2 linked regions of the Oryctolagus cuniculus genome follow. The protein of the gene in region 2 interacts with the protein of the main gene of each other region in a biochemical or structural test. Links are inferred from orthologs where the notes say so. Each region holds a gene or a part of one and is shown on either strand. Other genes may lie near its edges.

Region 1 (6,384 bases), on a different chromosome or scaffold from region 2:
TTCATTGATGACTACATCTCTACCCAGGAGCAGGTATTACTGTAGGTGTGCGAGTGAGGCAGACCCTGTACTTGAGAACCCAGGGAAGAGTGGCAGGAGGAGACTCTGCGCCTCACTTCCTTTCTCTATTCCCAGGTCGTGGATTACTTGACTCAGTACTCGGGGATAAAGCCGGGAGACCTTGACGCCAAGATATCCTCCAAGCACCTCACAACCCTCAAGTCCACGTACTTGAAGCTTCGGTTTCTCATTGACATTGGCGTCAAGTTCGTGGGCCATGGCCTGCAGAAGGACTTCAGGGTCATCAACCTCATGGTTCGGGCAGGGACTCTTAGGAATCACCTTTGAGGGTGGGCCCCCAGGGTATACATTGTGCTTTTGGAGAATGGGAAATGAATCTTTAACTCTCCCACTGTTTTATTTCTGCCAGGTGCCCAAGGACCAAGTACTTGACACTGTGTACCTGTTCCACATGCCCCGAAAACGAATGATTTCCCTGCGATTCCTTGCATGGTACTTTCTGGGTGAGTTGCTCCATCTTGTAGACAGCGGAGGTGCTCATTAGAAATAGGAAAACTGCTGGAGGTCAAAGGGGAGTAGGGACAGCCCTGAATTAGCGATGAGATTGACCAAGGGATTTTTACAATTAGCGTCAGTATCTCCTCTACACTAGGGAAGGTGTTTGACTCTTTGCCTTATAGGTAATTTATTGTTTTCTTTGAGTCATAGGGTGGGAGTCGGGGGGATATGTCGCTACCTCCCTTTGCCTGGTCCCCAACTCTTCTGCCTTTACTCGCCCTAGACCTGAAGATTCAAGGGGAGACCCATGACAGTATTGAGGATGCCCGCACAGCTCTTCAGCTCTATCGAAAGTATCTGGAGCTAAGCAAGAACGGCACTGAGCCTGAATCCTTCCACAAGGTGCTCAAGGGCCTTTATGAGAAGGGCCGGAAGATGGACTGGAAGGTGCCTGAGCCAGAGGGCCAGACAAGTCCCAAGAGTAAGGCCTGGAATGGGAACAGGGAGACTGGCTCGGACAGGTTTTGATTGCATACATGGAGGTTATACCCACCACCACAACGATGTTGATGAGTGATGATAACAAGACCAATCTTACCCTATTTTTTGTAAAGTGATTAGCAATTACAATTGCACTTAATCCTCCTAACAGGCAGGGAAATTGTTTTTATTATTGAAACCCTGCATCAGTCCTATAATCTCCTCTTGCTGAATTCTGAAATGTTTGGGGAAGGTCCACGCCCGTTTTCTCGTCCATTTTCTTCACGAGAGGCGTCCAGGTGTTCTCTGCACTCGCCTAACAGTCGTGCTCTCGGTTTTGTCTCTGACAGACGCAGCGGTCTTCTCCTCAGTGCTGGCACTCTGACCTGCCCTCTCCCTTCAGTGCTCTGTAGCCCCAGAACTGGGAGATGGCTTCCCAAGTGGGTCCACTTCCAGAACGGGACCTGCTCAGTCTCCACAGATGGTGCTATTAATAGAACTGGAACTCAGAAAAATCGATGCAAAGGTTCTAGGAGCCGGATTCCTTCTTCATCCTTTGCAAAACAGCAGGCCAGATACAAAGTCTAGACCCAGACGGAAAGTAATTGGCATTCTTAATAAATACCCGGGGTGATTAGTATCTAGGCGGAGAAGGTTCTGGGACCAACACTCTCAGCTCCTAGCTGGCTGGGGACTGAAGTACTGGACAGTGACAAGAGGATATACTTAGTAGCTCAAGATTTAGCTCAAGTCTTCAATTGCTCAGGGGATGCCTGGAGGGATCATCATGTTGCAGCTTGGGGAATCAAGAAAACCACAGTTGCCAATACCATTGCCAAAAGGGACTTTGTTTCCTGGACAAAGCTTGGCTGCTGGCTCCATTCCTGCTGACAGCTGAGAAGCATCTGTCTTCCATCTTCTTTCCCGTCTCAAGTTTTGTTATTTTTTAAAAATTTATTTTAAGCCGCATGTTTTATAAAATAAAAACGAAAATATTGTCTAATCACCTGTCTCATTATAGAACTGCTTTTGTAGGGGTTCTGTGAAGCTCTATTATTATTTTTTGGTTTCTTATTAACACTCAGAAAACTAAAGTTGTGCTCAAATCCACATCCGGGAATGAAGGTAAAGCTTCGGGGTCCAAAGTTATGGATACGGGAGAAGTGAAATTACTCCCTTCCTGGACAACACTAGGTGTTTGCTGTAGATGCCCAGTACCCTAGGGTCAGACTGCTGTGAAGACACGTGGTATGGTTTGCGTAAGCCGCAAAACTACAAGTCCCAGGGCATCTGCTGACGCCAGCAGCTGCCGAAAGGGTCAGCTGGTGCTGCAGTGCGTTCTGGGAGATGTAGTTTCGAGGCGAGGTCGTCTGGCTGGCTAGCCGCAGCCCGGGGTTCTGAAGGCCCTAGCCCACCTAGAGCGATGCATCGCTCGCGCCTCACTGCTCCCGTGTAACACGCCGGGCTCCGTCCGCGCCTGGCGCCGCTCCTGTTCTGCTACCCGCCGGCGGCCAGTCACGTGGAGCCCTTCGCCACGCAAGTCTGGGTCCTTCTGCAAGCCACCGGGGTCCTCGCCACTTCAGTGCCGCTCCCACGTTGCCTGTTCGCGCGAGAGTTTGCAGGGGCGGGTTTAGGGTCGCTGTGTGGTGGGGGCTCGCCCGGCCACACAACCCGAGCCCCGCTTAGGCGCCCAGTTAGGGTGCAGGGAGCTGGGTCAGGCGGCTGCCTGGGCACCCCGTTTCTAGAAAGCACCGACGCGCTCTGGAGGATCACGGACAGCCCCGCTCCCCCCTCAGCCAGGTGCGAGGCTCGGGAGCCACCGAGGCCAAAGTGAGAGTCCGGCGATTTTGCAGCGCCTGGGCCACGGCGGCGGCCCTGGGAGCAGAGGTGGGACGCGTGCGGCGCTAAGGGCTGGGGACGGGCTGCAGCGAAAGCAATGGGGGAGCCCTCAGAAAGGGGGCTGGTCCACACGTGCAGTCCCTTGGAGGCTGGCGGAGGGCATGCGGGCATCTTCTGTGCAGGATCCTGTCAGGCCCTGGTTGTTGAGCGCTCTGCTCGCCGGCCGCCTGGCCTGACCGCAGGCCCCTCGCACGGTCACCGGCCTCCGTCCCGTAGCTGCCACATAGCCCTGTGAACCCTTGGCCGCTAATGGTAACGTACCAACACTTAGGGACTCACCTGCCCCTGAGCCCCAAGCCCTGCGCTCCGGAGGGGTCAGCCCTCAAGCGCCGGCGCAGAGGAGCTTCTTTGTGTCCCAGCCATTTCCTGGAAAGCAGTCAGAATGGCAGGAGGCTCTGGAAGGCCTTGGGATGGAGAGGTGGAGTGTGGGGGGTGCAGGGGAAGTAGAGTCGGTTCCTTACTCTGTTTTGTTTTTTTTTTTTTTCCCCCACCCAAATTCAGGTGGAGCAACCCCATTACGTTAAAGATGAAAGGCTGGGGTTGGCTGGCCCTGCTTCTTGGGGCCCTGCTGGGAACTGCCTGGGCTCGGAGGAGCCAGGATCTACACTGTGGAGGTAAAGAAAAGCACACAGAACATAAGAAGGGGGAGGGAGTGGACTCTGGGCAGGGCTCGAGACCCAAGGCCTGGGGGGAAATGAATGCGAATCCCTCTTACCCAGCTTGCAGGGCTCTGGTGGATGAACTCGAGTGGGAGATTGCCCAGGTGGACCCCAAGAAGACCATTCAGATGGGATCTTTCCGGATCAATCCAGACGGCAGCCAGTCGGTGGTGGAGGTAACTGTTAGTTCCCCCGGAGAGTTCACTCTGGCTTTGAATGAGAACGCAGCTCATTAAGACGGACTTTGGTTTTACAGAAATGAAGACTAACTCAGAGAGGTCCCTGGAAGATTGGGCTCTGTCTCATGAGGTTATCCCTTGTGTGCCTTCTTTCTGGCTCCAACCCCTAAATACTCTGTTTCTGTACAGAACTTGTCACTGGGAGCCCTGATCAGCCCTCTTCTTTATACATCTTTAATTCGTGTAACTCCTGTTTCCTCCCTAGCACTGGGATACATACAGACTTTCATTCAAAAAGAATAAAAGGTCTTATGCTTGTAATTAGGAAATTGATTTCAGCTGAAAATGTAACACACACAAAGCTGTACATAGTGAGCAATATGTAAACATTAAGGTTATGAAGCTTTTGGGTTTTTTTATGTACCTTTTTTTTAAAAAAAGATTTATTTACTCATTATTTGAAAGGCAGAGTTACAGAGAGACAGAGGCAGAGAAAGACAGAGAGGTGTCTTCCATCCGCTGGTTCACTCCCCAGTTGGTTGCAACAGCCAGAGCTGTGCCAATCCAAAGCCAGGAGCTTCCTCTGGGTCTCCCACGCAGGTGCAGGGGCCCAAGCACTTGAACCATCTTCTACTGTTTGCTCAGGCCACAGCAGAGAGCTGGATCAGAAGTGGACCAGCCAGGATTTGAACCAGCTCCCATATGGGATGCCAGCCCTGCAGGCGGCGGCTTCACATGCTATACCACACTGCTGGCCCCTGTGAAATTTTTTTTTTTTTTTTTGACAGGCAGAGTTAGAGAGGGACAAAGGTTTTCCTTCCGTTGGTTCACCCCCGAAATGGCTGCTACGGCTGGGGCACTGCGCTGATCTGAAGCCAGGAGCCAGGTGCTTCCTCCTGGTCTCCCATGCGGGTGCAGAGCCCAAGCACTTGGGCCGTTCTCCACTGCCTTCCCTGGCCACAGCAGAGAGCTGGACTGGAAGAGGAGCAACCGGGACAGAACCGGCACCCCAACCGGGACTAGAACCCCGGGTGCCGACGCCGCAGGCGGAGGATTAGCCTAGTGAGCCGCAGCACCGGCCGAATTGTTTTAATAGTTGTCATCCTCAAAGCCTGTTTTGCGTCTCTATTGCTGTCCTACTGAAAACAAATGTTGGTTTCATTCTAATACTAAAAAAAAATAAATAAATTATCAAGGAGTGATAAGAGGTGCTGAAGGTTGGGTTGGTACCCATGGTCAAAAATTTAATCAATCACACATAGATAATGAAGACTCCATAAAAAAAAACAAAAAGGACAGGGTTCAGAGAGCTTCTGGGTGGCTGGAGGATGGTGCTCAGGGCATGGAAGCTCTGTGCCTCTCTTCATCTGAAGCCTTTGTAATATTCTTTATAATAAGTTGGTAAACATGAGTATTGATCACCTACAGTCATAAGAATGAATTCAAAGGAAAAGAACACCATTGATCAGAGTTGATAATTTGGAGTTAATGCTACATGTCTTATTTGTGCCATGCAGTAAAGATAAAACCATATATTCAAAAGTACTTTGAAACTATACAAATATAGCCATACTGTGTTAGTTAGGGAAGGATTTTTAGAATAAGTTAGTTGAGCCAGAGTTGGAAGGAAGAGTAAGGATATAAATTACTAACGCGCAGACATAGGAGATAGTGACCGAAGGCTGAGGACTTTTCCAGGTGCCTTACGCCCGCTCCGAGGCCCACCTCACAGAGCTGCTTGAGGAAGTGTGTGACCGCATGAAGGAGTATGGGGAACAGATCGATCCTTCCACCCACCGCAAGAACTACGTGCGCGTGGTGGGCCGCAACGGAGAATCCAGCGAACTGGACCTGCAGGGCATCCGCATCGACTCGGATATCAGCGGCACCCTCAAGTTTGCGGTGAGCTCTGGCGCGGGGGTAACTCGTTCTTGGAAATCGGGAGGGCTGTTGGACGGCTCAAGTAGAAAGTTGGGTTAATGTCCTTGTCCTCGTCTCTGGAGGTAGAGGCAGGAGGCCTCTTCCTGCTGCCCTGTATCACTCGTCTCTCCTTTGGGTTGGCAGTGTGAGAGCATCGTGGAAGAATATGAGGATGAACTCATTGAATTCTTTTCCCGAGAGGCTGACAATGTTAAAGACAAACTTTGTAGTAAGCGAACAGGTAAGCTACTACCCATTTATCTCATGTTCTCACCGCCCTATGGAACCTAGCTACCTTCTCTTGGGAAACCTGATAATAGCCCAAGAGTTGGTTTCCATTTCCTTTGCCCCTTGGCTTAGGGACTAGGAGTGTTCCTCTCCATTCTCTGTCTGCTTTCAGATTGGAGATAGAAGCAGGGTGCGGGGCGGGGGTGGTGCAGAGGGGCATGTTTTGTCATTTCTAAGCATATGCTCTCAAGCATGGTGGTTGGTGTGTGCGTCAGTTTGGCTTACCGTATTTCCTTGTTAGTGGTGTGTGTCAGAATGAAAGTGGCGTTTCCCTTCCAATCGTTATGTACTGTTTGCAGATCTGTGTGACCATGCCCTGCACATATCTCACGATGAGCTATGAACCATTGGAGCAGCCCAGACTGACTTGATGGATCACCCCCAGGAGGGGAAGACGGTGGCATTGCCTTTTATATTATGTTTTTACCGAAATGAACTGA
Region 2 (6,028 bases):
CAAGCTAAGGATCTGGGTAGAAGAATTAAATCTAAAATTAGGCCAAATCAGAGACCAAGCTAATTCTCTCCTATACCATTCTAAGCAGACATTTGGTATACTTATTCTATCATCAGGAAAACAACATCAAAGCAGAAGCTAATAATAATAACAGTAATAATACGCTATTGCTAGGAGGAATCTTTTTTTCCTGGGTTTTCAACTGAAATGAAAAGAGGGCTTTCCCCTGTCCTCAGACCTCTCGCATCCAAACAGGCCTTCCTGGCCGTCACTCTTCCCAGTGGGCCCTCTAATTGACGCGAACTAGTACGTTAACTGCTCACAGGCCAGCTCCACCACGAGCAGGCTGCTTTAATTGTCCACAGAAGATGACTCTGCCAGGACACTTCAGCACCACTTAATGAGAGGTCCAGACACTTGCAGTACACTAAATGCACCCTCATGGCTTGACTTAGTAGAAAATCACCTCTTATAACCAGATTGTCAAAGCGGGGCTTACTCACTACATAAACAGATCTACTGTATATTCACAGATCATCAGACATCCAAAAGTTCGTCAGCCAGCTTTATTTTGCTATGTTGTTTGATAGTATTATGCACATAAAAACAATGTTAAGTGTAAACTGGACGCATTCAAATCCGGATGTACTCATTTACAGGTACAAATGCTAATAACACTTTATCTAGTTACTGAAGCAGAATGCTTTATAAACCGTAGGTGGCATTTTCCCACTAAGTCTGATATTTCAGCCAACCCCATGAAAACAAATAGAATTTACCAATGCTATCATAAGCCAGTCAAAAGTTTGGACTAGCCTACAATCAAACTGCTTTCAAAAATCAGGTAAGATTATCTGGCTGAAGTAGGTATGTAGGGGTGCTGTTAGCCACGAATCTCAAGGGTTAAAGTCAATTGAGTCAAGAAAGGAAAAACCAAGATAATAAATTTGTTCAGGTTCTAATTTATAAAATGCCTCCATTTCCGGCATGAATAAAATGGATTTGACACAAGTTATTAACCCAATTACAGGAAAACACAGGTAGTGATCATCTAGTCATTAGCTACAAAGTCTGAATGCATTCACACTACAAATATATTATTCTACCATCACTTTCATTGTTTAAATGAAGTATTTGGCCCTCTAAATGTGTGCAGATTTAAAACATTTAAATTGGGTTGTATCTGGTAGCCCGAAATAACTGAAAAATCATAAGACTATGTAATGAAAATTCCACTATGCTTTGTTATATATACTTTGTCTTTTATTCTACTGTGAGTTACGGCAGTGAAGTGCAAAGCAGAAGCTTTCAAAAATTAGTTTAAAGAAAAAAAGCCCATTTTGATTAACATAGACAGCTATAACTTCCTTAAGCATGCTGTCACTTGAATATTTTGCAAGATATTTTCAAGAGCACTAAAAATTCAGTATAACTGCTTCCTTCAGAAATAAAACATTTTCCTCAACATTTTGAGTTTTATAAAAAAACAAAGTGGAAATTTCAAACTCAAATAAATACTATTTCAAAATGTATTTCTATCAGCTCTCTGATAAACAAACCAAAAAAAAATCTTTAAAGAATATTGCTCACTCATCATTATTCAAAATTTTCAGAATCACATTTTTCACATGCATGGCAGATTTCCAAGGCAAAGGATTATGAAAAACATTACAGCTTAGATCCAAGTTTGCTGTTTTTAAAAGTAGCCATTTTCGTTTTTTTTCTTTTTGACTGCTTTAGTAAGACTGAAGTCTTGCATTTTAGCCATAAATATTAAACATAACTTTCCTAGTTTCACTCACCCTTGAGAAAAGTACTAAGTCAGTGCCAGAGAGAACACATTTTTGTTTAAAAAAGATCATTTGCTTCAGTTGTCTACCACTAGTGGTGGATTTTCACAAGGCAGAGAGAGACTCCCCAATCGTGTGCAATGTATTTGTGGGTTAGGATTCAGTTACAGTAGCCTTAAAAGAGTGCTCTTATTAAGTTTTCAAGAAACTAAAAACTTCAAAAATTCTGCACAAAGCCTGACAGAGTTCTCTGCTACACACTGTAATCTGACACTGGCCGAAGCTGACCAAGTTTAAGTAACCCAAGAGGAACTGTTTCCTGCTTTCTGTTAGAACGTCCACAGTGACCTACAGTAACACTGCCGAGGCAGAGGTTACTATCGGCCATTGGATGCTGCTGTCAGGAAGTAGGCAGTTTGGTGTTTCTCTGGCTGGTTCTTTTTTTTTCCCCCATGTGACAACAATCTCAAGGGTTTGTGGGAATTCTACCCAGCTCTCCCATTAAGTTTATAAAAACAGGAGCTGCAAAATGCGCCCAGGCCAACTATGTGGCTCCCTCTTCAACCAAAGGGCTGTGCCCTGCAGAACGTGGGTAAGGAAGGCATTCACCGCACCAAATTTGCCTGTGAACACCCCGGGGAGGCTGCTCCGGCGCCCCCTAAACAGAATCTAAGGTGCATCTGACAAGGGTCTATCTGAGTGCCGCTTTACCTCGTCTGCTCCTGTAAGATGAGATGAGGCTCCACGAAGAACTTGACTCTGAGTTTAAGCCGGTAAGGGGCCAGCCCGTCCATCTGCTGGGAGATCCGGTTTCTCAGGTTTAGCCATAAACTTTCACCTTTGCTACCGGTAAACTGCAGTCCAAAATAGTCAACTTCTATGATTCCCAGTCGCCTGCACACCTGAAGTCAAAACAAAGGCGGCACGGATGAGCAAACGGGACATGGGGTCAAAGGAACCCGGGGCTCTCTGGAGCTGAAGACTGCTACAGTTCTGCCAAAACCCACCGGTGCTGCGACGCTAACCGCTGGCTCCAGGACGGAGACCTGTCCCTCCCTCCCTCAATATCTAGGGCATGCCCACAGCAGCCCAGAAAGAGCAGTGCTCAAGAGCAGGGGCATCTTCAGGGTCTCTTCCTTCTGACTCCAGTCACTACGATGCCCGGTACCAGCACAATCCACAGAGCTGCTCCGACAGCTATTATCTGGGTAGTGTTAACCACCTGGACTCCAAACACACACACACACGCACGCACGCACGCGAGACCCGCCACAAGTGTCAGCTGTGCGTCACACGAGGTTCTCCAAACCTCTCCTGTCTACACGGCGTGGGAGCACAGCGTCCCCTGGGATCAGACCTGCTGCCTGCCGAACCAGCTCGGTTCCCCCTTCGCTCTGGAAGGAAACGCGGGCTTCAAGGCAGCCAAGCAGGTGCACCCACAACTACAGTACCTCTGCCCCCGCCCGCAAATCCGAAGATGCAGGTGAGTGCTCCGCTGGAAACGCGGCACGGGACAAGGGCCAAGCTTGCCTGCCAAGGCACCCTGGGCCCGAGACCGCGTCCACTCACTCCTTTTTGGGACGTGGGTGGCACTGCAGGGACCCCACCGGCGGCGTCACGCACACACACCTGAGGCAAGTGTGCTGGGCCGCCTGGCTCTGGCAAAGTGCCGGCTTGCGGGGGGGCTGGGCTGCGCTCCGGGCTCTGCCCGCGCCCCCGCGCCAGGGGCCCCCGCAGCGCGCATCCTCCGCACCCCGCCAGCGCGCCCGGGAGGGGGTCGCGCGCCGCACGCCCGCAGCGGGATCGGGGTGCGGGGCCCGGTGCCTGCCTGGGGCGCGCTCCCTGAGGCGCCCGGCCGCCTTCGAGGCCCGTCGGCCTCTGGAGACCGACGTGGGCCCGGACCTGGGTGCTCGCTCTCACCTGATTGAGGCAGTCCTCGCCGTTGGCTTTCGCCTCCACCTCCACCTCCATCAGCACCGCGTCCGGCCTCGTCACATAGCACAGCATGGCTGGGGCCGCCGCTGCCGCCACGGCCACCTCAGCCACCTCCTCTTTGGTGTACGCGGGGCTACCGCCTCGCCAAAGCTCGAACCCAGCCCCGGGCTCGGCGAGGGCTGCAGACAGACGCCCGCGGCCGCAGCTCCGTCCCCGCCACCCCCTCGCCCGCCAGCCCGCCCGCCCTGCCGGCCCCCGGGCACTCCGCGGCGACGCCGCACTCCAGCAGCCAACTGCCTGCGCCGCGACAGGCGCTCCCCTGATATAGCGGCTCCGCCCCCTCCGGCTCGGGACCCGGCCAATCGCGGCGCCCCTGCCCCTCCTCCCGCCGCCCCATCAGCCAATCGGGGAGCCCGCTCGGGCGGCCCCGGCCACCAGCGCCGCCTGAGTTCCCCGTGCCGCTGCGGGAGGCGGCCGCTGGCGGGCGCCTGGAGCCGCGAAGGGGTTGGGGGGGCCCGGAGAACACCCGGTGCCTGTGCCCGCTGGGCGACGCTGCTCCTCGCGAGCGGTCGCCTCGGGCTGCTGGCGGCGACGTCTCCCTGTCGGGGGCTCGACAGTGAGAGGACTAAACGCCTCCAAGCTGCCCCTGAAACATGGGGTCCCTCCAGGAGGGCGTTTGGGTCGCGAAAGCCTAAAAAGAAGAGGAGCCCCCGCGGAGCCCACGGACGCCTACCCGCCCCCTCCGGGTTTGCCTCCGTGTCTGGTTGGGGACGGCAACCCAGGCGGTCCCTTCGTGTAGACCCTGGCTCCGAAATAACAGCGACTGAATGTCAGAGCGCCTTGCAGCCGCTCGCAGATGAGGGTCGGCCCTCTCTAGGGGCTTCTGTTGGCTGAGCCCTGCCGAATGAAAGCCCCCCGTCACGGGGCCCCAGGCCTTCTCTCAGGCTGCCCATCCCGTCTCAGGTCTTACCTCGGCTCAGTCAGCCAGCATTCAGGGAGCCCCTGCTGCATCGGGGACCCCCCACCCCACCCCGCCGTCATGTTCCCTGTTCCGTAGTAGCTATTTAGCAACTGGAACTCCACAGCTCTTCACTCAGTTACTGTTTATTCCTGCTTACCAGTGCATTACTCAACCCACATCTCGGGTTTCTTTGCAGGAGGAGCCCCAGGCCTTTGGAAATTTTACTTCTCTCTGAGGCCCAGTGTTGCCAACTGCTGCTAGGGTGGAGCCCAAGACATCTGTTCTATGGGCCGCCAGAGCAGCCAAGGGGAGACCATCCATGACAGCATTTGTGTCCTTGTGTTTAATGCCAGAGCTGTCATGTCCGCCCCGGTCACTGCCTGCTAATGATGGCTCCCGTTCCTACCTCTTTTCGGGTGAATCTCTGTGCCAGGTCGCTTGATTTCTGTTGTAGGAAAGGCAGCAGAGCAGAAAGCAAAAGAGAGGGAGCCTACCACAGGCCCTCACCGAAAGGGGCACAAACTGGACTAGGGGCCAGCGTTGTGACACAGCAAGTTAAGCTGCTGCCAGCCTCACTGCTCCACTTCCCAGCCAGCTCCCTGCTCATGCACCTGGGCAAGCAGCAGAAGATGGCTCAAGTGCCTGGGCCTTGCCACCCGTGTGGGAGACCTGGATGGAGTTTCAGGCTCCTGGCCTAGACTGTCGTGGCCCTCTGAGCTCTGTGTCTCTCCGCCTTTCTCTGTAACGCTACCTTTCAAATAAATAAATAAATCTTAGGGGGAAAAAGAAGAAACTGTAATGGGCCTTTGGTGTTGCACGTGGAGACACGTGCATGTGTCCTCTCTGTGTGTCTGACATAGGCACCTCTTCCTGACAGTGTGCTCCTGAAATACTCCCTTCATGCATCAACTCCTGTTCCTCATCCCCTTAATTCCAGTTTGCTGACCTCGGGATATTTATCTGGGAGTTAAGATGTGGATCTTTGTTATCTAATCTCTGCTCAATGGCTAGAAATGTCAGAACAGGAAGAAGAGGCGACAGGCAATATGGAAACCAGTGTACTGGTTACAAGTTTTGTATATGAACATCAGAAAGCCAGGCTGACTCACTTAAATTAAAGGGGGTATCAGATGGCGAATTTCAGAAACTCAGACAATTAGTGGAGACCATGCATGAAAAGGAATAGAAAGAGAAAGAGAAAATATTGGTTGGCCAAGAACAAAAGTAAACAAAAACAAAGCAAGCAGAAACCAAAATCAAATACCCAGTTTGTGAACTACTTGAATCATAACTATATTGTTGGTTTTGGCAGGAACATTTCTTTTTGTTTTTTGCAAGTATG

Evidence for each region.
Region 1: the proteins of MYLIP (region 2) and CNPY2 form a complex in vitro, tested with the Homo sapiens proteins (2 studies listed by BioGRID). The link is inferred for Oryctolagus cuniculus from reciprocal best matches to the Homo sapiens genes MYLIP and CNPY2.

The regions. Positions count from the first base shown.
Region 1 is NC_091442.1:59,130,087-59,136,470, reverse strand, and holds the start of CNPY2 (protein canopy homolog 2), read left to right. Parts: upstream 1-2,596; 5' UTR 2,597-2,799; exon of another isoform or gene 2,800-2,886; intron 2,887-3,177; exon of another isoform or gene 3,178-3,399; 5' UTR 3,400-3,424; coding exon 3,425-3,512; intron 3,513-3,617; coding exon 3,618-3,733; intron 3,734-5,434; coding exon 5,435-5,638; intron 5,639-5,800; coding exon 5,801-5,897; intron 5,898-6,243; coding exon 6,244-6,287; 3' UTR 6,288-6,384. Other genes in the region: PAN2-PAN3 deadenylation complex catalytic subunit PAN2, read left to right, coding at 1-33, 136-315, 431-524, 803-1,000, 1,350-1,384. UniProt on the Homo sapiens protein: Positive regulator of neurite outgrowth by stabilizing myosin regulatory light chain (MRLC). It prevents MIR-mediated MRLC ubiquitination and its subsequent proteasomal degradation.
Region 2 is NC_091436.1:143,408,324-143,414,351, reverse strand, and holds the start of MYLIP (E3 ubiquitin-protein ligase MYLIP), read right to left. Parts: upstream 4,020-6,028; 5' UTR 3,798-4,019; coding exon 3,711-3,797; intron 2,693-3,710; coding exon 2,502-2,692; intron 1-2,501. UniProt on the Homo sapiens protein: E3 ubiquitin-protein ligase that mediates ubiquitination and subsequent proteasomal degradation of myosin regulatory light chain (MRLC), LDLR, VLDLR and LRP8. Activity depends on E2 enzymes of the UBE2D family.